Daphnia pulex: one gene and its partners. The protein of the gene in region 1 purifies or fractionates together with the protein of each later gene. This does not show direct contact. Links are inferred from orthologs where the notes say so. Each region holds a gene or a part of one and is shown in the gene's direction. Other genes may lie near its edges.

What was found.
Region 2: the proteins of protein max-like (region 1) and paired amphipathic helix protein Sin3b-like purify together in Homo sapiens (affinity purification with mass spectrometry; 3 studies listed by BioGRID and IntAct, with this or other methods). This does not show direct contact. The link is inferred for Daphnia pulex from reciprocal best matches to the Homo sapiens genes MAX and SIN3A.
Region 3: the proteins of protein max-like (region 1) and YY1-associated factor 2-like purify together in Homo sapiens (affinity purification with mass spectrometry; 3 studies listed by BioGRID and IntAct, with this or other methods). This does not show direct contact. The link is inferred for Daphnia pulex from reciprocal best matches to the Homo sapiens genes MAX and YAF2.
Region 4: the proteins of protein max-like (region 1) and histone acetyltransferase Tip60-like purify together in Homo sapiens (affinity purification with mass spectrometry; 3 studies listed by BioGRID and IntAct, with this or other methods). This does not show direct contact. The link is inferred for Daphnia pulex from reciprocal best matches to the Homo sapiens genes MAX and KAT5.
Region 5: the proteins of protein max-like (region 1) and ruvB-like 2 purify together in Homo sapiens (affinity purification with mass spectrometry; 3 studies listed by BioGRID and IntAct, with this or other methods). This does not show direct contact. The link is inferred for Daphnia pulex from reciprocal best matches to the Homo sapiens genes MAX and RUVBL2.

Annotation. Positions count from the first base shown.
Region 1 is NC_060026.1:15,127,004-15,130,924, reverse strand, and holds protein max-like, read left to right. Parts: upstream 1-1,640; 5' UTR 1,641-1,814; intron 1,815-1,902; 5' UTR 1,903-1,952; coding exon 1,953-2,015; intron 2,016-2,102; coding exon 2,103-2,153; intron 2,154-2,224; coding exon 2,225-2,332; intron 2,333-2,376; coding exon 2,377-2,518; intron 2,519-2,575; coding exon 2,576-2,727; 3' UTR 2,728-2,965; downstream 2,966-3,921. Other genes in the region: uncharacterized protein LOC124205464, read right to left, coding at 1-11, 75-425; lysosomal-trafficking regulator-like, read right to left, coding at 3,158-3,359, 3,421-3,670, 3,729-3,921. UniProt on the Homo sapiens protein: Transcription regulator. Forms a sequence-specific DNA-binding protein complex with MYC or MAD which recognizes the core sequence 5'-CAC[GA]TG-3'. The MYC:MAX complex is a transcriptional activator, whereas the MAD:MAX complex is a repressor.
Region 2 is NC_060024.1:9,531,188-9,536,199, reverse strand, and holds the start of paired amphipathic helix protein Sin3b-like, read left to right. Parts: upstream 1-1,611; 5' UTR 1,612-1,803; intron 1,804-2,310; exon of another isoform or gene 2,311-2,893; intron 2,894-3,984; 5' UTR 3,985-4,021; coding exon 4,022-4,183; intron 4,184-4,244; coding exon 4,245-4,577; intron 4,578-4,644; coding exon 4,645-4,805; intron 4,806-4,869; coding exon 4,870-4,990; intron 4,991-5,012. Other genes in the region: 40S ribosomal protein S27, read left to right, coding at 53-81; AP-3 complex subunit sigma-2-like, read left to right, coding at 618-686, 747-838, 891-1,074, 1,141-1,365. UniProt on the Homo sapiens protein: Acts as a transcriptional repressor. Corepressor for REST. Interacts with MXI1 to repress MYC responsive genes and antagonize MYC oncogenic activities. Also interacts with MXD1-MAX heterodimers to repress transcription by tethering SIN3A to DNA.
Region 3 is NC_060019.1:11,514,837-11,518,846, reverse strand, and holds YY1-associated factor 2-like, read left to right. Parts: upstream 1-1,361; 5' UTR 1,362-1,489; coding exon 1,490-1,521; intron 1,522-1,694; coding exon 1,695-1,750; intron 1,751-1,823; coding exon 1,824-1,893; intron 1,894-1,963; coding exon 1,964-2,116; intron 2,117-2,195; coding exon 2,196-2,412; 3' UTR 2,413-2,973; downstream 2,974-4,010. Other genes in the region: ubiquitin-conjugating enzyme E2 N, read right to left, coding at 3,338-3,519, 3,757-3,912, 3,986-4,010. UniProt on the Homo sapiens protein: Binds to MYC and inhibits MYC-mediated transactivation. Also binds to MYCN and enhances MYCN-dependent transcriptional activation. Increases calpain 2-mediated proteolysis of YY1 in vitro.
Region 4 is NC_060018.1:12,586,041-12,590,748, forward strand, and holds histone acetyltransferase Tip60-like, read left to right. Parts: upstream 1-1,367; 5' UTR 1,368-1,418; coding exon 1,419-1,490; intron 1,491-1,552; coding exon 1,553-1,610; intron 1,611-1,684; coding exon 1,685-1,753; exon of another isoform or gene 1,754-1,817; coding exon 1,818-2,126; exon of another isoform or gene 2,127-2,193; coding exon 2,194-2,268; exon of another isoform or gene 2,269-2,340; coding exon 2,341-2,537; exon of another isoform or gene 2,538-2,599; coding exon 2,600-2,683; exon of another isoform or gene 2,684-2,745; coding exon 2,746-3,070; exon of another isoform or gene 3,071-3,134; coding exon 3,135-3,297; exon of another isoform or gene 3,298-3,364; coding exon 3,365-3,581; 3' UTR 3,582-3,668; downstream 3,669-4,708. Other genes in the region: threonine aspartase 1-like, read right to left, coding at 1-319, 380-478, 541-724, 790-1,073, 1,133-1,234; serine/threonine-protein phosphatase 2A regulatory subunit B'' subunit gamma-like, read right to left, coding at 3,677-3,794, 3,861-3,988, 4,053-4,266, 4,331-4,467, 4,530-4,708. UniProt on the Homo sapiens protein: Catalytic subunit of the NuA4 histone acetyltransferase complex, a multiprotein complex involved in transcriptional activation of select genes principally by acetylation of nucleosomal histones H2A and H4.
Region 5 is NC_060021.1:8,103,493-8,108,420, reverse strand, and holds ruvB-like 2, read left to right. Parts: upstream 1-1,932; 5' UTR 1,933-2,028; coding exon 2,029-2,034; intron 2,035-2,141; coding exon 2,142-2,255; exon of another isoform or gene 2,256-2,315; coding exon 2,316-2,436; exon of another isoform or gene 2,437-2,455; intron 2,456-2,507; coding exon 2,508-2,658; exon of another isoform or gene 2,659-2,697; intron 2,698-2,727; coding exon 2,728-2,890; intron 2,891-2,950; coding exon 2,951-3,080; intron 3,081-3,176; coding exon 3,177-3,275; intron 3,276-3,350; coding exon 3,351-3,463; intron 3,464-3,534; coding exon 3,535-3,755; intron 3,756-3,820; coding exon 3,821-3,959; intron 3,960-4,026; coding exon 4,027-4,141; intron 4,142-4,209; coding exon 4,210-4,238; 3' UTR 4,239-4,444; downstream 4,445-4,928. Other genes in the region: uncharacterized protein LOC124194162, read left to right, coding at 772-819, 889-1,023, 1,112-1,264. UniProt on the Homo sapiens protein: Possesses single-stranded DNA-stimulated ATPase and ATP-dependent DNA helicase (5' to 3') activity; hexamerization is thought to be critical for ATP hydrolysis and adjacent subunits in the ring-like structure contribute to the ATPase activity.

The DNA of each region.
Region 1 (3,921 bases):
CGCTGTTGATTCTGTAAAAATGGCGAATATTTCATAATGAAATTCCCCAAGAAATAGTGTAATAACTGGTTTACCTTTCTACAACACCGTAAACGACTGATGACGAGGAAAAGTAAAAGATAAAAGACGGCCAGGATTAAAACACCTCCTAATATGATGACGTGATAGGGAATCCTGGCGGATGGCCCGTGTAGTACGGGGTAATTGGCCGTGTCGTACGTGACATATTCCGGCGTGGTGGTGCTGAGTGCCTGCGTCAAACGCGGTCTCGGCCGCAAAAGTCGTTTGCTCCATTCTTTACTGAGCTTTCCTGCATCGGGCCCGTAAAACCAGTTGATTACTTCTTTGATAACCTGAGAGTGAGTCGGCTTTTTGTTATGGGAATTCTCCAACAAACCAGCACTGTAATCCTCTTCAGCAGACATTTCTTCAATTTCTGTTCCGAACGGTGTAAGATAAAGGAAATTTTGTTTTAAATACAAGTCTGTAATTGAATGAAATGTTCATACCAAAATGACGCGGTTCAATCCACTTTTGAATTCCTGTTATCCGTGAACAAAAAGAAGTTGATGGAAAGGTTAAAACAGCACATCCAACTTGCACGACGCCAACTCAACACTAAACAAGGAATGGCATCAAATGTGAAGACAACGCGACTGACCATCAAGGCTTTGCTGCTGCTGCTGGTTATACACGATTCTTCTAGTTTTTCCAATGAATATCATCTCATGGACATCTCAAGTCTCATCCGACACACCCCATTCGCAACCTTCAAACTTTCCGGTTTTTTTTTCCCATTTGGAAGAAGGTACGACGTGAGGAGGAATCGCACTATAACGAGTATCCCATTTTATAAATTTTTTCCTACAATGACCTTAACACAAGAGATTCTGGTTCTCCTTTTGGCGCAACAATCGCCTCGGGATTCTAATCATGGAATAAGATATACGTGGTCTAGCGCTCAAAGGTTTTTTGGGTCTGAATTTTTTCCTATTCATATGGACTCTCTTCTCCGTGATGGGTGTACACTCGGCATGCACGTGTGTGACGACAACCTTCAGTCAAGAGAAGCCAAGACAATCAAATATAAGTTATAAGGTTTTAGTTGTTTTAGCGTGTTAGGTTGAATATTGGGCATCATTTATCATTTTGGGATTTTTTAAAAAACGCTAATGTAATGTGGAGGTCACTATACTTCTTTGGGCGTGTTATTGGCGAGACATTTTAAAACTATGTTTGCCCGCACCCAAAATCAGCGTATCGCAGTTAGTGGAATGTGGAAACAGTCAAGTGGATGACCTCCTCGGTTCACTACTCGCTCGACATTGAAGCGTTTCTCGCGTGTGGTTCTTCTAACGCAGGTATATTCTTGCGCACCTTTTATATGTGACCACACCTTGATTGGAGAAGAGATTTTGCATTCCATAATTTTCAACTTTGTCATCAAACATGTGTTTGAAGCACAATAGTTTATTATTTGCCGCATTTACTCTGAGTGATCCTCCGCCAATCAAATAAAAATGTCAGAATCCGTCAAATTTTTATAATAAGGACTAAGGAGTTTTTTGTTTTAATTTTGTAAAGAATTATAAATATCCTTGTCGTAATGTCGTCCTTGTTGCCGGGCGAAATTAGCAAGTTGGCAACAATTTTGCTGTTGGAATGAATTGCGCTCATTTGGCAACATCGCAAGTGCACCTCAACAACTCGATGCGCTGTTCACTTGCTGTTTAGTCTCGTGAATACAACACTTTGCCCACACTCGTGACGTGTTTACACAAAGAGAAATCGACTATCAGGCTTTAAGCAAATTGGTATAGCAGTTTCTTATCTCGATCACCTTGAACGTAACTATTGCGTTGGAAGTGTTTTGGCCCTAATCTGCAAATTTTGATCCCTTAGCTTGAAGTCTTCTTGTTGGTAACCCTAGTTTGTCTGGCTTGATTACGACCATGTCCTATGCCGTTTCCCCATCGATGAGCGATGATGAACGAGATATAGATATCGAAAGTGATGTAAGTTGTTGAACAAGATGGTTTAGCTGCATTGACCTCTTTTAAAACATTCACTTACTAAAACTTACTTTCTATCATCTGCTGTAGGAGGAGGATGGAGGTGGCTATTCACGAGGCTCTGGACAGTATTCTCAGCAAGTAAGATATTATTTGTGTGTTTTACCTGGCACAGAGCTCTTTATCAACACTTTGTGTGCTTGGATGAACAGGTTGACAAAAGAGCACACCATAATGCCTTGGAACGGAAAAGGAGAGATCACATCAAGGATAGCTTCAGTGGACTTCGAGATTCAGTTCCCTCGTTACAGGGAGAAAAAGTAAAACATAAGTGTCGAGCAAATCTCACTTAATAAAATTGTAGGATGGCTCTCGGTTTCAGGCGAGCCGTGCTCAAATACTGAAGAAGGCAGCTGATTATATACAATTCATGAGACGGAAAAATGCAGCCCACCAGCAGGATATTGATGATCTCAAAAGGCAAAATGAAGTCCTTCAAACTCAAAGTATGTTTACTTTTTTTGTTTTGCATCAGTACAACATTTAACCTTTTCTTTGTTAAGTTCGCTCCCTGGAGAAAGCCAAAATGCTTAATGTAGGTGACATGCATACCCAAGCTGAGGCTGGAAAGTATCAGGAAGATTCTGAAGGTTCTGATAGGGAAAACAGTACCAAAGGGAAACGGTCCAACAAAAAGATGAAAACATCTGTCTAGCTAAATTATTGAGATCTGCTTCATATTGACTGTTTGTGTGTCTCTGTACCTTCTGCGACCTAGGAAATCGCAATTTTGTGTCATGAGTCCTGATTCATTCGACTCTCTTTTCGTACTTTTCCACCTCACCCTCTCCCTGCTCTGATTCATTCGCTGTGCAAATAAGCTGAGAGTGATTTGGATACATCCTTGTTATGTGCTTAGTTCGAGCCAATAAAGACAAAATTTCGTTTAAAAATGAAGTTTCATCACTTTCTTGCGAATAGATTACCGTAATTATATTCAGATTTGCATGTGTAACATTATAAAGCTAAATTTATAAAAATTTTCAAGAGATTCTATCCTTTTTTGAATTTCCTGTGATTAAAATCATGAAAATCTCCTCTTTAATCGCGTTTACATATCATATCTACGGGTTTGAAAAGTATCATCATTGCAAAGTTAAATTGATAAAGGGTGGGAAGCGAGGCGATTTTTTGTGGTTATGTGGACTATCCCAAGCTAGCAGAGAACCATCGTTTCTAGCGGCTAGTAAATGCTGTGAAGTGCTCGAATATGTCAAACTGACTATCGACAAGGAGGAGTCAGTGATGATATCTCGTACGACATTTAGGGTCCAAGTATCCCACAATCTGTAGTGAGAAAACAATTAACAAGTAGGAACAAAAACAAACTTATTAGTTGATGAATTACCTAATGCGACCATTGGATAGCCCGGCAGCTACCACATTGATAGAAATTCCCTCGGGAGCAGATGAGAAACACAACGAAGTAATGAGAGGATTCGTCGTTGTCATGCCGATCAAATGCCCATTGACTGACCTCAATTCCAGCCGAGACTGCTGATCGTCCAGATTGACAGCGCATGCAATATCAGCTGTATTACGACTGACGGCCAATTGAGAAACTGGTAGTATTATATCTTTCCGGTCATTTGATAGACCTATAGGCAATTTAAAAAAATTTTAATGTTGGGTCGATGGATGTTGAAGTTGAATTACCTGGAGTGAGCTGACGGATAAAATTCAAAGAATGAAGATCCCAGAGGATAATTGATCCATCACTTCCACTGGAGACAGCGAGGCTGAACGACGAACACAAGACGAGCTGTTGAAGGGGTCCAACGTGACCAGAGAGAACTGTCGGCGGTCCAGTCAACTCAAAATGAGGTTTCAGTGGGTCAAACAGAAAAGG
Region 2 (5,012 bases), on another chromosome or scaffold:
CAGAATTCATGTTAGTTTCTTTGCAAAACTAATCAAATCGTTTTCTATTCAGGCTGCTCTTTCCGCAGGAAACAACATTGAAGAAATATGCAGTTTGGCCTGGCTGCACCTTATTGTACTTCATCTAAGATACCATTCATATGTAAAGAGTGAATACAAGTTGCATTGTCAAGGCTATTCTGAGTCTTTGTTTAACTGTCTGAAAAGTATAAAGTGTATCTGTGCAAATAAGCCTTAACATGGCAAGTCTCGTATAATTCCTTCTAACACGCAAATCGTAAAGGGTACATCTTAAAACCGCGGACATGTTGGGACATGTCTATGCTGCAATGCTAATATGACGTCTTATTGTGCAACAGACGATTGACACGTTACGGTCGTGACATTAAGGACAAAGTCAATGTATGAAAATTAAACCTGCGAGTAATGTCCGACTATCCAAAATAAATATTTCATTATGACTGACATTGACATTTCCTATTTATTTATTTAAAATTTTGGAATCAAAGTTCTAAATCTGACCACAAGATGTCTAATTGTCGTTATTTGTTTCGTCTGTCTTGACAGATCGTGTGTGCTGAGTACTTGTTTCATTCTTGAAATCTAATTCTTCGGAAATGATCAAAGCTATACTCGTGTTTAACAATCATGGAAAACCTCGTTTATCCAAATTCTACCAATATTTTGTAAGTTGAAAACGTTTAGGCGCTTTATACTATTGAAACTAACAAGTGAAGTTGTGACAGAATGAAGACATGCAACAGCAGATTGTTCGTGAAACTTTTCAGCTTGTTAGTAAGCGCGATGATAATGTCTGTAATTTCCTTGAAGGTGGAAGGTATGTTTAGTTATAATTTGTTATAAAAATAGTTTTTAATTCTGAATTTCAGTTTGATAGGAGGATCTGACTATAAATTGATCTATCGCCATTATGCTACTTTATATTTTGTGTTCTGTGTTGATTCCTCTGAATCTGAGTTAGGTATACTAGATCTCATTCAGGTATTTGTTGAAACCTTGGATCGCTGCTTTGAAAATGTTTGTGAACTGGATTTGATATTCCATGTGGATAAGGTACATTTATTTATTCCTTCACTTGTCAATTGTCTTTTAATTTTCTACTATTTTGATATCTTCTAGGTTCATTACATCTTGAATGAGTTAGTCATGGGAGGAATGGTTTTGGAGACCAACATGTCTGAAATTTTAAGTCGGATAGAAGATCAAAATAAACTAGAAAAATCAGAAGCAGGGCTTATTAGCCTCAAGAATGTGAATCTTCCTAATTTACCCAACATTCCTCAGCAGATAAAAGATATTAAACTTCCAGATCTACCTCAAGCTATCAAAGACTTAAAATTCTAATGCAATGGCTCTCAATTCTAAATAATTTTTGCTGTATTGAAATACACCATATATACGTTTAAATTATGCTGTTATTATTATTTTATGTCTTTTTATCAAATTCGTATGTTTATGTTTTATCAAATTCGTGATTCTGAACGTGATAGATGGATTAAAGATTTTCGTGAAAAAAAAATAGCTTTTAGTACTGTACGATAGATGGCCATTTTCCTATTCAGTTTGAACATAACTTCCCGCTTTCAAACAGCGCCTGCTGTATTTTCCCATCTCGCCGCCATCATTCGTCGTCTGGCCAGTTAATACCTCTGTTCCTCTCTTAAACAACTAACGTGTATTTCAATTGTTGGTGAATTTCAGTGATTTTTCTCACTTTAAGAAGCATGCTTGAGTGATCTTTGATCAACTAGAGACTTAACTAGCAACATTTTCTCTCTTTTGGTAAGTTATTCGACTTTATTCGTTATTCATCTCGTTAATGGTTTTCTTGGGCATCACGGCATCACGAAGAATTTGCAAGTTCACGCAAGATGTTTATTTGATGGAATGGGAATGTTTCAGCGTCGTTTTATCGTTATCAAAACCTGTTAATCGCGTAAGTCAAATAAAGTACGGTTTTGACGTTAATTATAGAAAGACATGATCGTTTAGTATGTGTTGAGCTCTCTAGGATCGAACTTGGGCTGTTTGAGCGTGGCAACACAGCTGATGGTTTGTGTCCCTTTACCCAACCCCATCATTCTGGATTTTCTTACCTCCCTCAGGCTACGCGTTTCCGGACCTTTTGAGAGCAGGCAGGCCAGGCCTCTCTACCCCCTCTCCCAAACAACACCCAACCCCTCGTTTCGCTGCATCCCGATAGTGCAGCATTGCCGGTTTACCAACTAGTTTATTCGCATTTTTAGAGTTTTTTAAAAATCGAAATAAAACGTCATTTTCCACATTTCGAAATTGTGTTTATCGCAAGTGACATGAGAACGAGCGGCGAATATTGTTATCAGAGTTACAAGTCTTAACGCGATCGATTGTTGATGGTTTCCAGCGCCAGCACTAGTCGCTCCGTATCAGGCATGGCGAGTAGTGTCGGTAGTTTCAGACGCCAGCAAATTCGAGTCACTCTTCGAAAGAGCACTACAGTGAAAAGCCTCTGGGTCGTCGTCACCTAGTTGTGAGAGATCCCAGACGACGTGTGTGTGTACATGTTTGCCTCTGCTCTCTGTGTGGCATAGTGAGAGATTCCTGAAGAAAGTGAACGCCATTTCTTCTTCATCGTGAATTAAATTGAGTAAAGGGTTTGCAACTCGAGTTTCACGTGATTCGACCGTTAGTGTACTCAATCCGGCGATAGTTTCTTGGAACTATCCGAGCTTAAACGAGAGGGGGAAAAACGACGGCCATAGTTTCTCTTTTAGTACTACTGCTGCTTTAAGCAGAAACACAGTGTAAGCGTCGGCGTTGTGTGAAACTTTCGATCTTCGGTTTTCATAGTTTCTTCACATGGACATTCACCATTCATTTACGCTGCTTAAAGGTGACCTTCATTGACCTTACGTTTTCTTTGATTTCTCGTAATCGACTCGTTCATTTTAGTCGTGTCTTGGTCGTGATTGCTCGTCTTTCATTTCCCATTCTTTTAACATAATTTACTTGATAACAAATGGTTGACATGGAATTGTAATGATCTAGATTTGAACAGAGGAAGAGTTTTTAAGTCCCGTGAGACTTGAAAACTTGTAGCAAAAGAAATGTCTTATTATGTGATGTGACGTGTGTTGTGTACGGCATTCCTGTGCTCATTGCTGGCCAAAGTGAAGCGGAGACCGCTCTTTTTCGCCTTTCGATGAGCCAATAAGAAATCGGTTTCAAACCGCTTCACAGCTGTTCTGAGGTTGTGCGTCTCCCTTCGAATTCTACCCAATATGGAGTCGGTCCACTTAGGTCGGCGTTATTATCGAAGCGCTTCGCATCCACTATTTCCTCCAGTGTTTAGTCTGCGTTAGTTCTGCTGCAAAGTAAAGTCTATGATAATGGTTTCAGAGGGAAAACAGTGGAATATCGCTATTTTTTCATTGTTACAGAGGTTGTTGGATGCATGACGAAAACGGGATTTTTGTTGATTGAACGTGTCTATTGATAGGTACAAGTCCGTTCTGAATGGTCTAAAAGCGGTTTTAGTGGGACCGCAACGTTGCCATATTTAGTATACTCCGTCTCCCACATACTATTTCCGGAAAGCATTTGAAATCTCGTGGCAATTGACGTTTAATTTCGAACATCCCTTTTAAATGAACAAAACTGTCTTTTTAAATTTATTTGCAGCAACAAATTTCAGTTAATATTTCTTTAAATCCAGTTGTTGTCTGTAAATTCCCGATTTCCTTTGTCCGGCAGCAATGTTGTCGTTTCTCTTTGGGCGGGAAAGGCGGTGGGATCGATATTTGTGTTGAGACCCGAGGAAGAAGACTCCCGGGTTAGTTGAATAATCGATCCGTCCGCTGAGCAACAGACGCAGCTCTGCAAAAAGTGTATTTAGCTTAAAAATAAAAATGACTCTGAAAACTGCATTGCTGGCGTCCAGTGGGATTTGTTTACTAACTGTCTGTGATTTGTGTTCTTCTACAGTCGGCTGTCTAAGCAATGCCCTACAGCTGGATTGAGAATGAAACGCAACGAAGATTCCGTACACATTTCGCCCTCCGCCGTTGAGTCTGTAGCACGACCATTGAGTGGATCAATCCAGTCCGGCCGCGTCTCCCCTACGTCACCTATGGTGAATGCAATACTAGTTGGAGACTTGAGGAACGCTGCAAATCAGTTACAGGTACATCCTTTTCCCATAGTGTTGCTGTGCCTGTATACTCAATATATTCATTGCTAAATAGGAGCCCTCCATAGCAGCAAGTATGGCCTCTTTTAGTACAAGTGGGTTTGTGGCAGCTGCGAATGGCAGCACCACAGTTACAATTGGTCCTATTGGCACCAGCCCACCAGTGCCATTCTCTACTACTATTCAAACAACGAAAGCCTCCACTGCTGGTGGAGCAACACAAGTTGTGGCTCAGCAACAACACATCTTCCATCAGTCCCTGGCACATCAACAAGCACGTCACAGTTTGGCTACTGCTGCTGCCCCAGCTGGATCTCCTCCGACAGGTCAATCAACATCTCAGCAGACACAACAGCAGCAACAAAATACAATGCAACAGGCTTTTCAGGTGAGAAACTTTAAACATTTAATAGTTTGTGTGTGTCCGTTATTGCTAACTATGTATGTCTCTATAGCAAATGACTGCTGGTCCTCATGGCCCTGGTGCCCAGCAATTTCAGCGATTGAAGGTGGAAGATGCCCTTTCATATTTGGATCAGGTCAAATACAAGTTTGGCAACCAACCTCAGGTTTATAATGATTTCCTTGATATTATGAAGGAATTTAAATCTCAAAGGTAAGCATGGGTGTTGATTAAAGAAAAGTAAGGCTTTGATTAACATGGAATTATGATCTTCTAGTATCGACACACCCGGTGTCATTGCTCGTGTTTCTTCTTTATTCCGCGGCCATCCGGAGCTCATTGTGGGATTCAACACTTTTTTACCTCCTGGATACAAGATAGAAGTTCAAGCTGAGCAGGTTTGTTGTTTGTTTTTTTTTA
Region 3 (4,010 bases), on another chromosome or scaffold:
TAGATTACACGATCCAACGTGAAAAGTTTCATGTTCCTATACGACTACTTTTATTTGAGGCCGGCCATGAAAAAAAAGCTTTTCTGTTGAAACGGACATGAGCAACATGACCATTTGGATCCTCTTCTTTGGCCTCCACCGCCATGTCCGCTGCCTCCATGATGGTAGAAAAGATAGACGTTGCGCCAATTTTTGGTGTTCAATCCGTCGCTGCAGCTGAGACAGAGCCATCCTTCCAATGAGCTCTTCCTTGGAAATGGCCCAATTGTATATCACTTCCGGCGCAAGTGGACCACATGGCAAAGACGTAGAGACAATAGAGAAGTCCAGCTCCCCAATCCGCTTAGATAGCGGATAATTTCCAGCAGGGCCAGCACCAACATGAGGATCCACGTCAGCAAGACGGCGTGTCGCGTGTCCGCCTTCTTCTTCTCGTCGGATTGAACGGCAGAGTATCGCAGCAGTACAGGACGCATAGGCCTATCCAGCGAAACGTACCAGAACACTTCTTTCCGGGCAATTGGCAGTTAGTGGAATGACGAGAACTTCGCGAGAACGTCATACCGAGGCGTGACTGGAACTTTTCTCAGGTGAAAGCCACCCATTCGGCCGTTCCGTCTTCACGCGTCTTCATCGTTGCTGGGTAGGCTGTGTGTCATTTACTGCAGGAACATGAAACTTTTCACGTTGGATCGTGTAATCTATTTTTGTGTAGGGTAATACTCGGCCTGCGGTCGAGAGAGACTTTAGCGGCGGCCGTTGTGGCGGCAGCGGTGGCCAGCACCGCCCGGCAAGGGCTGACAGTATCGCTGACGGCCTTGCTGGCTGGAATCAGCGACATAGCCATCAATGGCTAGTCGGTTGTCTCGGGGTGGCTATAGCATCCGGAGAGAGCTGGGGATAGAGTAGGGTGGTGTCATATCGCACTCCCGAAATTGTATGGATATTCAAGTTCATTTTCATTTTTCAAGTTCATTTTCATTTTTCAAATTCGTTTTCATTTTTCGAAATCATATTAGTTTTTCAAATTCATTTTAGTTTTTCGAAATCATTTACATTTTTCAAAATCATTTTCATTTATCAAAATCATTTTCAATTTATGAATTCATTTTCAAAACGTTTTCAATTTTTGAATTTATTTTCAACTTGATTTCAATATTCAAAACGATTATCAATTTGTTTTTAAATCAAATATGGTAATCGATTTTTGAAAAGTTTTTTTGGAAAAAGTGTTCAATCCGCACCCCATAATATTTATTATATAGTGTAAAGCATTTGATAAAAAGAAATTCTTTCCAAATCACAATGTTTTGTTTTGAAAATAATGTCAAAGTTTCCGTATCGATCACACGATAATCGATATCTTGTTTGTAGCCGAAAAGCACAGAATAACGCGTATTAATAACGTATTTTGTAATGCCATTCCTACATTTTAATTCGAAGTTTGCGAGTAGTTGAATTATTTTGATTGATTCACATCGTTTTGATCATGGATTCAAAGAAAGGCAGTCCAAATGCAAGGTAAATTTATCCATTTATTTTCTTTCGATTTTGAGGGAAGGACTTGGGACAATCGTACACCTATTGTGTAGCCTTGACCGACCATATTCTTGTTTTTATTTATTTTTGTAACTATGAATTATGCTAGTTATAAGTATTTCAATCATATTAATGGGGGTTTCTGTACCTTCAAGAAGGGCGAAGCGGAGTAGCAAGCAAATTGAAGAAAATTACTGGGACTGCAGTGTCTGTAAGTTGACAAAGCGCAATATGAAAACAAAAGATGTTGACAAATGGTGACGAACATTGTATTATTTACATAGGTACCTACAGAAATAATGCAGAGGCATTTAAATGTTCAATGTGTGATGTAAGAAAAGGAACCTCAACCAGGTAATTTTTCCTTAGCAATATTACCATTTCTAAACATTTAACAGATGTGACAAAACTTGCACGTTTTCAGGAAACCAAGGCTCAATCCTCAGTTGGTACCTCAAGTGTTCAATCCTTCCTTAGCTAACAAAAATAGAAAAGAGAAGGAATCTAAAGAAAGAGATAAATCTGAGAGGAAATCATCAGATGGAAACCCCACCAGGAACAGTAAAGCCAGACCAAGGTATGTTTTAATAAAATTGTTAAAACAAAATTTGATATCTATCCTTCAGTGTGACTTGCTAATTGTTTGTTTAAAATAGGTTGAAAAATGTTGACAGAAGCACTGCTATGCACAAAGAAGTGACAGTGAACAATGTGACAGTAGTCATTACTGAGTTTCGGCCAAAAATTAGCAGCAAGTCAACATCTCCCAGTAACCTTGATCTGGATGCTGGACACACGACCAGTAGTTCTAGCAGTAGTGCCAGCAATCACGGCAACGATCTTTCCCCTGCAGATCAAGAACATTCAGACTGACTAAAGTCGTTGCTCGTGATTCATTTTTTTATTATTATTTAGCATCTCGAGGTATTTTATTTGAACTGTATTTGTTTGCGCACCCAATTGACCCCATACCGATCTTTTCTCAACTGCCAAGAAGTATATAATTTTTAAATATCTATAAAGGCTATAATTTGGTCCCAACCGAATTTCAGTGAGATAGAACTGGAGCGACAGACGTCCAAACCGAAAACTATACATGAAAAACCAAGAGGCAGTTGTCTATAACTATTCTGGATTCAAAGTTTTTCCCTTTTTTTTTTTTGTAACCACGAAATTCCATAATGTTGGAGATTATTTTTGAGTGTTGGGAATTCCTGTTTCTGATCGGATCTCAGTACCAATATTCGCTTCCCTTTTTCGGTTTGAACCTACCTCATCTGAACGGTGCGAAGAGGTCGGGGAAGATTTGGTAAAAAATTGATTATGTCTGTCGAGTGGATGGTTTTCGTTTCGTGATAAATGTGCGCTCTCATCCGTCTTTATAATTTCACCCTCCTCATCCACGACAAGTAAATACACAGCTGTACAATTTGATACTCTAGACTTCCACGGGTGACGGCATTTTTATTATTCTTTAGTATCCTTTTGAGGTACTCGTGGTACTAAACGGTAAAAAGTGTAGGCTATCGACGATCATTTTAACGACGCGTGAATTGGAATGAACCGTCGATAGAACTTTTGACGAGCAAACAAAAGAAGATTGGGATATAAGAACGAGCAAAATGTAGTTTTTTGGCTGATCACCATCGGGGACAGTTCAACCAATTGAAGGGAGGGGAATCAGTCGACAAAGGCTGATGGACGAGGAACAAAAGAAAGCAAAATAATCTAAATTCAAACACAATTTCTCGGTAACGGATTGACAATTTTACTCTTTTTCCTTCCACAGATCCAGGTTTCATATGTTTCCCATAGCATAAGTTCTGGTCCATTCTCGAGCATTACGAATAGCTTCTACCTCGTTGACTTTCCACAACTCAGCAACATCATTGGCCAATGGATCATCGGGATTGGGCGCACTCAATAGAGCTTGAATCGACAACAGCACTGTCCGAATTTGCAAAGCTGGACTCCATTTATCTGAAAATATTAGAAAATATTAAACAAAGCCAAATCCACACACTTAAGTTTTTCAAGCAAATGCAACTTTCTGAAGTTAAAACTGATTTTTTCCCCAGTTACTTAAAAATTCAAAGCACAAATGTCATAACAATACAGGTATACCCTGATAACCAAAACACAAGATTATACATGCATAGAACACATAACACTTGACAATCTTGATAGAGCAAACACTAAAGTAATAAAAATAATCACCTTTCAGAATATCAAGACAAATTCGGCCAAGTTTATCAATATTAGGGTGATAAATCTTTGTCATGAATCGCACTTTAGGTGCAGACATTGGGTACTCTTCAGGCAAAAATAGTTCCAATTTGAAAACACCACCTTCAAATGGAGAACCTTCTGGACCTATGAATTTTAATCAATATGAACTAGTCAGTACCAGAATGACACTTTAAGGTTGCAATTTAAGTTTACAGACCTGCAACCACAACATGGAAATAACG
Region 4 (4,708 bases), on another chromosome or scaffold:
GGTTAGTGCTCATGAAACCGACGACCATCGAATCAGTTGTGAAGGCCATGTTGAAATCTATCGAATCTTCGCTATAATACGCCACTAGAACACCACCCATCCGGTCATAGACGTCATCAGACAGCATTTCTGAATGGATGAACTCGTCACACATGAGCTCTTTCAAGTGGAAAGCCGGATCTCCTCGCTCTAATATGGTTTGACCAAGCTTCTTGGCCAAGGTTGTTTGGATGAGTTGCTCGCCACAACCAGAAGTTGACACAGCAACACCACCGGAGCTGGAATGCTGCGCCCAACAACCACAGCCGTAAACTGGCACCTATCGCAATATACACATTGTAAATGACTACTAAAATGACAAGAAGGAATAAAGGAAAACCTGTCCAACTCGGCCGGGAAGCTTCATAGCAATTCCTCCCGAACTCGATGCACTTGCAATGTCACCATTCGTATCTATGCAAATTACTCCTACTGTATCCTAGATTTAAAAAATAACCATGATATTTGGATAACATTACTTTAGGAAACCAAATATATTACTTGACTTGGGTTTGGCTGCACTGTGATCTTTAGCCCACTTGATAAAGCTTTTCTGGATACTTCCAGCCGTTCTTTATATTTCTTATACTTTCTCATGGCTTTGTCAGATATAAGAGTGCTATTGTGAACAAGATTCAAACCTCGGTTTTTAGCAAAATCAGACGCTCCTTCTCCTACTAGAACACTAAAAAAAAGGCTGTGTTAATTTAACCACTCATTTTAAGTGATGCAAATGGTATTTTGAATTACAGTGGAGGTGTTCTACCAAGAAGTCTTGGTTCATTCTGGTATAAAATGATTTCTTTGGCTACCATTATAGGATTTTTAATACTTTTAAGTGATGAGACTGCTCCAAATCGTGTGTTTCTTTGATGTTTCAAAGACAACATGATTCCTGCATCACATTCAACTTCACCGCTCTCAGTGAGATTGGAGCCATATCCTGCATTAGTTAGTGGTGAATCTTCTAATATGCAAACCAATTCACACGTAACATCTAGTGCAGATTTTCCTTCTTGCAATAAAGCTGCTCCCTGGGAAAAACTTATCAAGTCAAACTATGAAACCATGAATCACTAATAGAAAGCCATGCCTTTTCACACGTTATTTTGCAAAGTTTTTTGTAAATAGCTTCAGATTTTGAACTATGGCAGCCTGCTCCAAGATGAATAGCAACAAATCCATACTGTGACATTTTTGCACTTTTATGGTTTAAATTTTGTCGAGAATTTTCATAACCGAAATTTCATTTTACAATTTGAAATGGGACTGATCGGTCCAGTTTGTGAGAGAGCTAGCAGAAGACTACCATTTCCAACCGGCAAAAGCGGCAATGTCGCTCATGGCCGCGCACTGTTGTTTTGAAAGCTTTTTCTCTAATGAAGACCGAACAGTCATTGTCAAAAATGAAAGAAGAGATTGTAGATAAAGATCTGTTTTCAGATTCAACTGTATGAATTTTTACATTATTTCATTAGAAACCATGTTTAATTTTGTTTATTCTATTATCTAGGCATCTGTTGTTGAAGGCTGTCGGTTGCCTGTACGGATGAGAAACACCGAAGACTGGCGTAACATTTGTTGCTTTGTTATCATTTTATAGATTTGAAAGTTTAATTGTGGTTTTTCTTTTGTTATCATTTAGCTCTAGCCGAAGTACTCAGTGTCAAAGATATCTGCAACATCAGGATGTTTTATGTCCATTACATCGACTGTAAGTTTTGTATATGCTATGTTTAACGATACATCATCTTACAAAATTTTTAATTCAACTCTAGTCAACAAACGACTTGATGATTGGGTCTCAGAAGATTTCTTAGATACGAGAAAAATTCAGTTTCCTAGAAAAGATGGAACTCAAGTAGGCACAGGCATGAGTACTCCTAAAAAAGTTGGAGGAACAACTGGTTCTTCCCGTCCTTCTTCCCCACTAGCTGCATCCAGTGCATCAGACCTTACTGTCAATGGGTCTGCTCTACTGGCTGCAGCAATACAAAAGAGAAATGGAAGAAAACGTAAAATTGGAGAAAAAGAAGAGCCCAGTCCAGGATCCATTATTCCAATCCCACCTGCCAAGAAACTTATAAGTAAAGTTATTTTATTTCATTAATTCTTTACATTTTTCATAAATTCTTTTAAATTTTATTTTTATAGAAATTGAAAAAGAATTACCAGCAATCCCCACTCTGCCACCCACCGTAGTTAGCGATAGTTGTGCTGTTCCTACAAGTAATTAGTCATTTTTTCTACAATCTATTTATTATATATAAATGATTATTAAAACTAAAATTTTCTGCATAGGTGATTCAGTTTGTGAGGTAGGAGATGCTAACTCTCCGGCCCCACCGTCCACCCCTGCACCGACTACACCAGGGCCACGTCAGTCGGGCAGTCTTGTTACACATCACGATGACGTTGTAACACGAATGAAAAATATTCAAATGATTGAACTCGGCAGACACAGAATAAAACCTTGGTATTTCGCACCCTACCCTCAGGTATGTCATCATCTAACGAACGTAAAGATCCGAAATGTTTACTATTCTTTTTCAAAAATTAGGAAATGGTTCACCAAGCTTGTATTTACATATGCGAGTTTTGTCTCAAGTACCGGAAAAGTGAAAAATGTCTAGAACGTCATCTGGTAATTTAAAATTTTACGATATATTTTTAATTGGATGATCAACCCTTAAACTTTTTCTACAGATGAAGTGCAATCTTAGACATCCGCCAGGCAATGAAGTTTACCGCAAACAGACAATTTCTTTTTTTGAAATCGACGGCCGTAAAAATAAAGCATACGCTCAGAACCTATGCCTGCTAGCGAAACTGTTCCTTGATCACAAGACACTGTATTACGACACTGATCCGTTCCTCTTTTACGTCATGACTGAAGTGGATGCACGAGGTTTTCATATCGTCGGCTACTTTAGCAAAGAGAAAGAAAGCTCGGAGGACTACAATGTCGCCTGCATCTTAACATTACCACCCTATCAACGGAAAGGATATGGAAAACTTCTTATTGAATTCAGTGCGTACAGAATCGTAAACCCAAGGGGAAATATTTTTTTAAAACCATTTTTGTTTACGTAAAGGTTACGAGCTGTCCAAGTTCGAAGGCAAAACGGGCTCGCCAGAAAAACCTCTGTCCGATTTAGGGTTGCTGTCTTATCGCAGTTACTGGGCTTTTACAATCTGTGATATTCTGATGAATATGAAACCATCCAGTGAAGGTGAACGTCCTCAAATTACCATCAAGTAAGTGATGTAAATTACTTCATTCTAGAGCTCACGTTGACAAACGAATTCGTTTTAATTTAAATAGCGAAATTTGCGAAATGACGAGCATTAAAAAAGAGGACGTGGTGTCCACCTTACAGCATTTGAACCTCATCAATTACTACAAGGGGCAGTACGTACTCATTCTGAACGAAGAAGCGATGAAAAATTGCATAAAAAACAAAGAGAAATGGAAATTACACATCGATCCCAAATGCTTGCACTGGACACCGAAAGACTGGTCCAAAAGAGGGAAATGGTGATGAGATCGCACCTACAATCCATTCCGCGATCTTGCTACTTCTTTGCTTTTTTTTAAAAAATACACTCACAATTTCTATGTACAAGAATTCCAAATTCAAATGTCCTGTTTCTCTTGGTTATTCTTGTCTGTTACGACAACAGCTTCACGGTTCTCGTATGTCCAAAATCCATCCAAATCAATCAAGATATTGATCACAGTTTCACCGTATCCACTGAGCCAGAAAACGTTCAATGACAATCTTATTCTAAAAAAATTCTAAATGAACTTTGTGTGTTACCAGTTAATCAAATCATGTAAAGTGATTTTTGACGGATCGGCAGGACGCACCATATCGAAAATCTCATCATTGACGTCGTCAAAAGCAACGACTTCTTGTTTGTGCTGCTGCATCAACTCTTGAACCCCCTGCAAAGCATTTTTTTTTTTTTCAAGATAAGAAAGTCAAAAGGTCAAATGAGGAAATTAATACTTTGAAGTAAAAATGGAGGTCAAAAGTGTTGAGATGGTTTCGATGATTGACGTCCAACAAACGGAAAAAATACTGAAGTGCTTGTGGTTCCTTTTTATTGTCCATGGCCAATACGAAATCCAAGTACGTTTTATAATCCATTTCTTTCTCATAGGTCATGCACTCCTCGAATACTCGTTGAATGAAAACTCGCGTCAACGTGCCAGTTCCGAATCTGAAAATTAAATTTAAAAAAAATCTTAAATGTACGTACTGCAAATTGAAATATGGTAAATTACCGTCTGAGCTCTTCCTGACAAAGCATGCCGTTTCTGTTGGTATCTAAATTTAAGTATTGACCGTAGACTCTCAGAGCGGAGGGCGCAGAAAACCAGTTTGAATCCTGTGCATCTTTGGGCAGCTCTTCATCCCGTAGCTGATGAATTATAATATTTTTAGCGAGAAGAATGACAAAAGAATCAGGAATATACTAAATACCTCTAAAAGTTCGTCCAGAAAACCAGAAGCGAGAATATCCTGTATCCTGACTTTGCCTAGCTTTAATGGATCTAGGAAAAAGAGGAACTTGCGTACGGCGGTACAGACGTAAAACGAATGGAATGACTTTTCAAGCCCTTCTAACTGTGGCAATGTTGGGATAAGTTCAGTTATGTAGT
Region 5 (4,928 bases), on another chromosome or scaffold:
CAGTTCACGTACACGTACTGTCTGTTTTTTAAACCTATTTGATATTGAACTCGCATCGCTGGAAGTGGTTGCCAAAGTGGAAACAACGGTAAAGTTATTGGCCATTACACGCAAATGGTTTGGGCTGAAACTACTCACATCGGCTGTGCAGCTATTGGATACTACGACGATTACAACGGATATCCTTTCACGCCCGGACAACCTTACAAACAGTTTTACGTCTGCAATTACAGTTCTCGGGGGAATGCCCCGAATAAACCGGTCTACAAAGTGGATTACGCATCCTCTTCCCATTGTCCAAATTATCCTGAATAAACCTGGCAATTGATTACGCAGAATATTTTCTTATCTGTAGTATTTGAATTATTGTCGTGAAAAGAACAAGATAAGCGTAACTAGAATCAATTTGTATTAATGATTACACGTTTGCTTCGATGAAGCCATCAGACGGACAACTTGTCGAAAGACAACGTCGAATTTATTATACCATCAAAGCGACTGTATAAACATAAATCTACATATAGAAATCTGATGATTTCTAGTTGCCAATTTAACCTTTTGAAAAACAACCAACTTGTTTCATTTACATATCAAGTTTTGGTTTTCGTCACCCAAGGGAATAGGGGATTTTTTCCTTTGATAAATGGGTCGCAGAATTTTCTTTTTTAAGTGAAACAATGCCTTCAGGTGTTACCTTTTACAAACTTGGCGGTATAAAACAAACACCTGGCTAAATTTTTCGGCCACTTTGACTAAAACCAAAATCGCGACATGGTGTCCCAGACTCTGTTATTCGGAGCTCTGCTTTTGTCGTTTTTGGTAAGCCTCTTGTTTTACGAAATAATTAATGAATTCTTAATCATTCGTTGAACAATTACTACATACGAGGTTGCAGATCGGCTGGAAGTAGTACAAGCCAGGCCCCCAATTAACTTTGCGGAAGAAGGAAGAAAAATTGACAAATATCACGTTTTGGGACTTCGCGGCAATTTTCACCGAAGGATTATATATATCAACAACATAGTACGTAATAAATATAATGGCAAATTGATTTGCACACATTTTTTGTCGTCTCTTTCTAATGCTTTGAACGATTACTTCCCATTTTTAGCTTTCAGACAAAGACTTGCCTAGAAAAACAACCAAATTAGCTGGCAAATTGGTAAAGAACAGTGTTCAGTTGGTTTTGTTGAGCTATTTAGATTACTTTACTGGCGGAATAACACCTACACTACGGAAGACGGTGACAGCGAAACACGGTTAATCAAAAATGTATAATTGTTTTGTTATTTACATTTAAAGTAACAACCCTGCTAAAATACTATGTCAACCATGAAACTGTTCATCTACAAAAGAATGAAAATTTACAAAAATCGAGGTATATTTTTTCCATGTGAAAAGTAACACAAGTCTCTTTCTCTCCCGTTTGGGAATCCCGTTACAAAAATGAAAATCTCTCTAAGTCTATGTCTCACTCAATGTACACTGAATTCACTTAACGTTTGTCCTGAAAATGCACGTGTCTCTGATCCAACAAATTTTACTTTATAACATTCTGAATTCCACATTTTCTAAAATTTTCATTTGGAAAAAGTCAGTAGATGCTAAATGGTTTGTGTAAAACAATCATAATCGAATATATGCATAAAAAATCTAAAAAAAAATTTGATTACGTTTGCGTTGAAGTAGTAATCGACACCAAAGATGTGTTTCAGACAGCCACTAGGCTAGCTAATGAGCTTTTGTCAAGAAATCATTGCTCCTTTTTATGCCTTTGAAAGTTGGAGCTAAAATCAGCATTGCCATGTTTGATAATTTTTTTAAGATTCGAGGAAAGTAGTAAATAAGTCGATAAGTGTTTTAAAATTTCATATAATTTAATTTAATAAAATTTAATGTTGATGTATAATATTACAAATGCTTTAAAAAAGAATGTAAAGCGAACAATCAATTCAAAACCGTTTCCATGGATACCACCGGCGTTGAACGGGAAGGATAGGAAACTCAACGCACTGTAAAAAGCAAATCATGGCGGTAATATATACACGTGTTATAATTCTTTATTTTGGATAAAATGGCTAATTTTTCCGTTTCCCTTGTGTGCTTTTTTTATTTCTGGACCATATCGTTTCATTTTTTAGGCGATCCCATCAGTTAAAGTAGCAGAAGTGCGAGAATTCTCTCGAATTGAACGAATCGGTACTCACTCTCACATTCGAGGTCTTGGACTTGATGATGCTTTGGAACCAAGAGAAGTACTTTTGAATAATTTGAATAAAAGAATCGTACAAGTTACATATCAAAATGATTGTTAGGTGTCCCAAGGCATGGTTGGCCAGTTGACAGCACGACGAGCTGCTGGTGTGGTACTGGAAATGATTAGAGAAGGAAAAATTGCGGGGAGAGCAGTATTGATTGCTGGACAGCCAGGAACAGGTTAACATTGTCTTTGAATCTGCAATAAACATCCCATTATTTGGTTTATAACACTTTGGTTTACTTTTTAGGCAAAACTGCAATTGCCATGGGTATGGCACAGGCTCTCGGGGACAACACACCTTTCACATCCATGGCCGGATCGGAAATCTACAGCCTTGAAATGAGCAAAACTGAAGCTCTAACTCAAGCATTTCGAAAATCTATTGGAGTTCGAATCAAGTAGATGTGAACTCAAAATTTGTTCAACCTAGAAATCTTGTAACCTTATTTTTCATTTGTTTTCAACAGAGAAGAAACTGAGATCATTGAGGGTGAGGTTGTTGAAGTTCAAATTGATAGACCTGCTACCGGAACTGGTGCTAAAGTTGGAAAGCTGACATTAAAGACAACAGACATGGAAACTGTGTACGATTTGGGCAACAAAATGATTGAATCCCTCATCAAGGAAAAGGTGTGTAATTTGTTTGACAAAAGTGTTTCAATTTTGTATACATATCTTTGTGTGGTTCAGGCCCAAGCTGGAGACGTCATTACCATCGACAAAGCCACTGGCAAGATCTCGAAACTCGGACGATCGTTCACTAGGGCTAGGGATTACGACGCAACTGGACCGCAAACCAGATTTGTTCAGTGTCCCGAAGGTATATTATTTAAATTCCAGTTTTGGTCAAGTGGTTTACGACGACGACGACGACATCGTACGATATTCTTACACCACTCCTATTCTATTTACGTAGGCGAATTACAAAAGCGGAAAGAAGTGACTCACACAGTCACCTTGCACGAGATTGACGTAATCAATAGCAGAACTCAGGGTTTTCTCGCCCTCTTCTCTGGTGAGCTCACATACATTTTTAATTTCCCGACCTTGAAAGTTTACAAAATTAAATCTCTTGTTTTGCATTCAATAGGGGATACTGGTGAAATCAAATCCGAAGTCCGGGACCAGATCAATAGCAAAGTCGCCGAATGGCGCGAAGAGGGCAAAGCGGAAATCGTCCCGGGAGTTTTATTTATTGATGAAGTTTGTGATTAAATCTTCATACCATTCTCCTTCCTGCATATATTTATTCGTACCGTCATGTCTCGACGTAGGTGCACATGCTAGACATGGAATGTTTTTCATTTTTGAATCGTGCTCTGGAAGATGATATGGCGCCAGTGTTGATTATGGCCACTAATCGTGGAATTACTAAAATTCGCGGAACCAAATATCGGAGTCCCCACGGCATCCCAATTGATTTGCTTGATCGGATGGTGATCATTGCCACGCAGCCGTACGTGGAAAAGGAAATGAAGCAAATTCTGAAAATCCGGTAAAATTATCATTTCAATTATTTGATGCGTTGGCTTTGCCTTAATTGATATTTTCTTTGCACAGGTGCGAAGAGGAAGACGCCGAGATGACGGAAGATGCTCTACTCGTTTTGACGAGGCTTTCCTTGGAAACTAGCTTACGCTATGCCATTCAGCTCATCACGGTTGCTAATCTCATAGCTCGCAAACGAAAGGCCATGGAGGTTGGTATTCAGACTGTATTCAGACAGCACGTTATTAATCATTTGCTTTATGCTCTTATCTAAATAGATTGCCGTAGAAGATATTAAAAAGGCGTACACGCTATTCCTGGATGAAACCCGTTCCACCCAGTATCTGAAGGACATTCAAGATGAATTCATGTTTAACGAAGAGGACGAACCAAGTAAGTACCTGAATCATTACGTCTGAGATTTTCTTTTGTGTATTCATTGAAAAATAACATTTTTACAGAATCTGACGTCGCCATGGAGACATCATAACTTAACTCAAAATTCCATTTTGAATGAAAAAGCTTTTTTTTTCCACATTTGTATCGTCTATCAAATAATCCCGTCAAAATAAAAAAGACGCCAAAAAAACAAACAACTACACTCACACGTACTGTTTAAACTGTTTTTCTTCCCGCCTCGTAATAATTGTGTACACCCGAAAAGAAGACAAAAAATACAAAAACACTTTCGGTCAAGCTGCTAGTTTCGGTTGATAGGTGGCTCTGAATGTCCTAAACTCGTCGCTTATTTGCGTCCGTTTGTTACGACTTTTGTGTAAGTAATTTTTACCACGAAAAAGAAGGGGAGGGTAGAAAAAGAAGTTACCACCATGTATAACCCGCCAACACCCGAGCCCTCGAGAGGTGCACCAATCAGAGACGCATCACCTGGTGAGGTAAAGGCGTCGCTCCCGAACCCTCAGTCGTCCGTGAGTGCACCCGCAATAATTTCGTGTCAAATCCGTCGCAAGTCAAGCCAGCGAAAAGGGAAATCAGCACACACACAGCAGCAGAAGAGGAGGCGAAAAAAGACTTTTTCGGCAACGCCGCCCACACTATTCGGTTCGTGAGAGAGCCCTGGCTCACTGCAGAGCGAGGCCTTGACCTACATTTTCAGTCGTGCAGCAGTCCCGCACACACACGCCACCGTATTCGCGAGCTGTGTGTGTGTGCACACAGC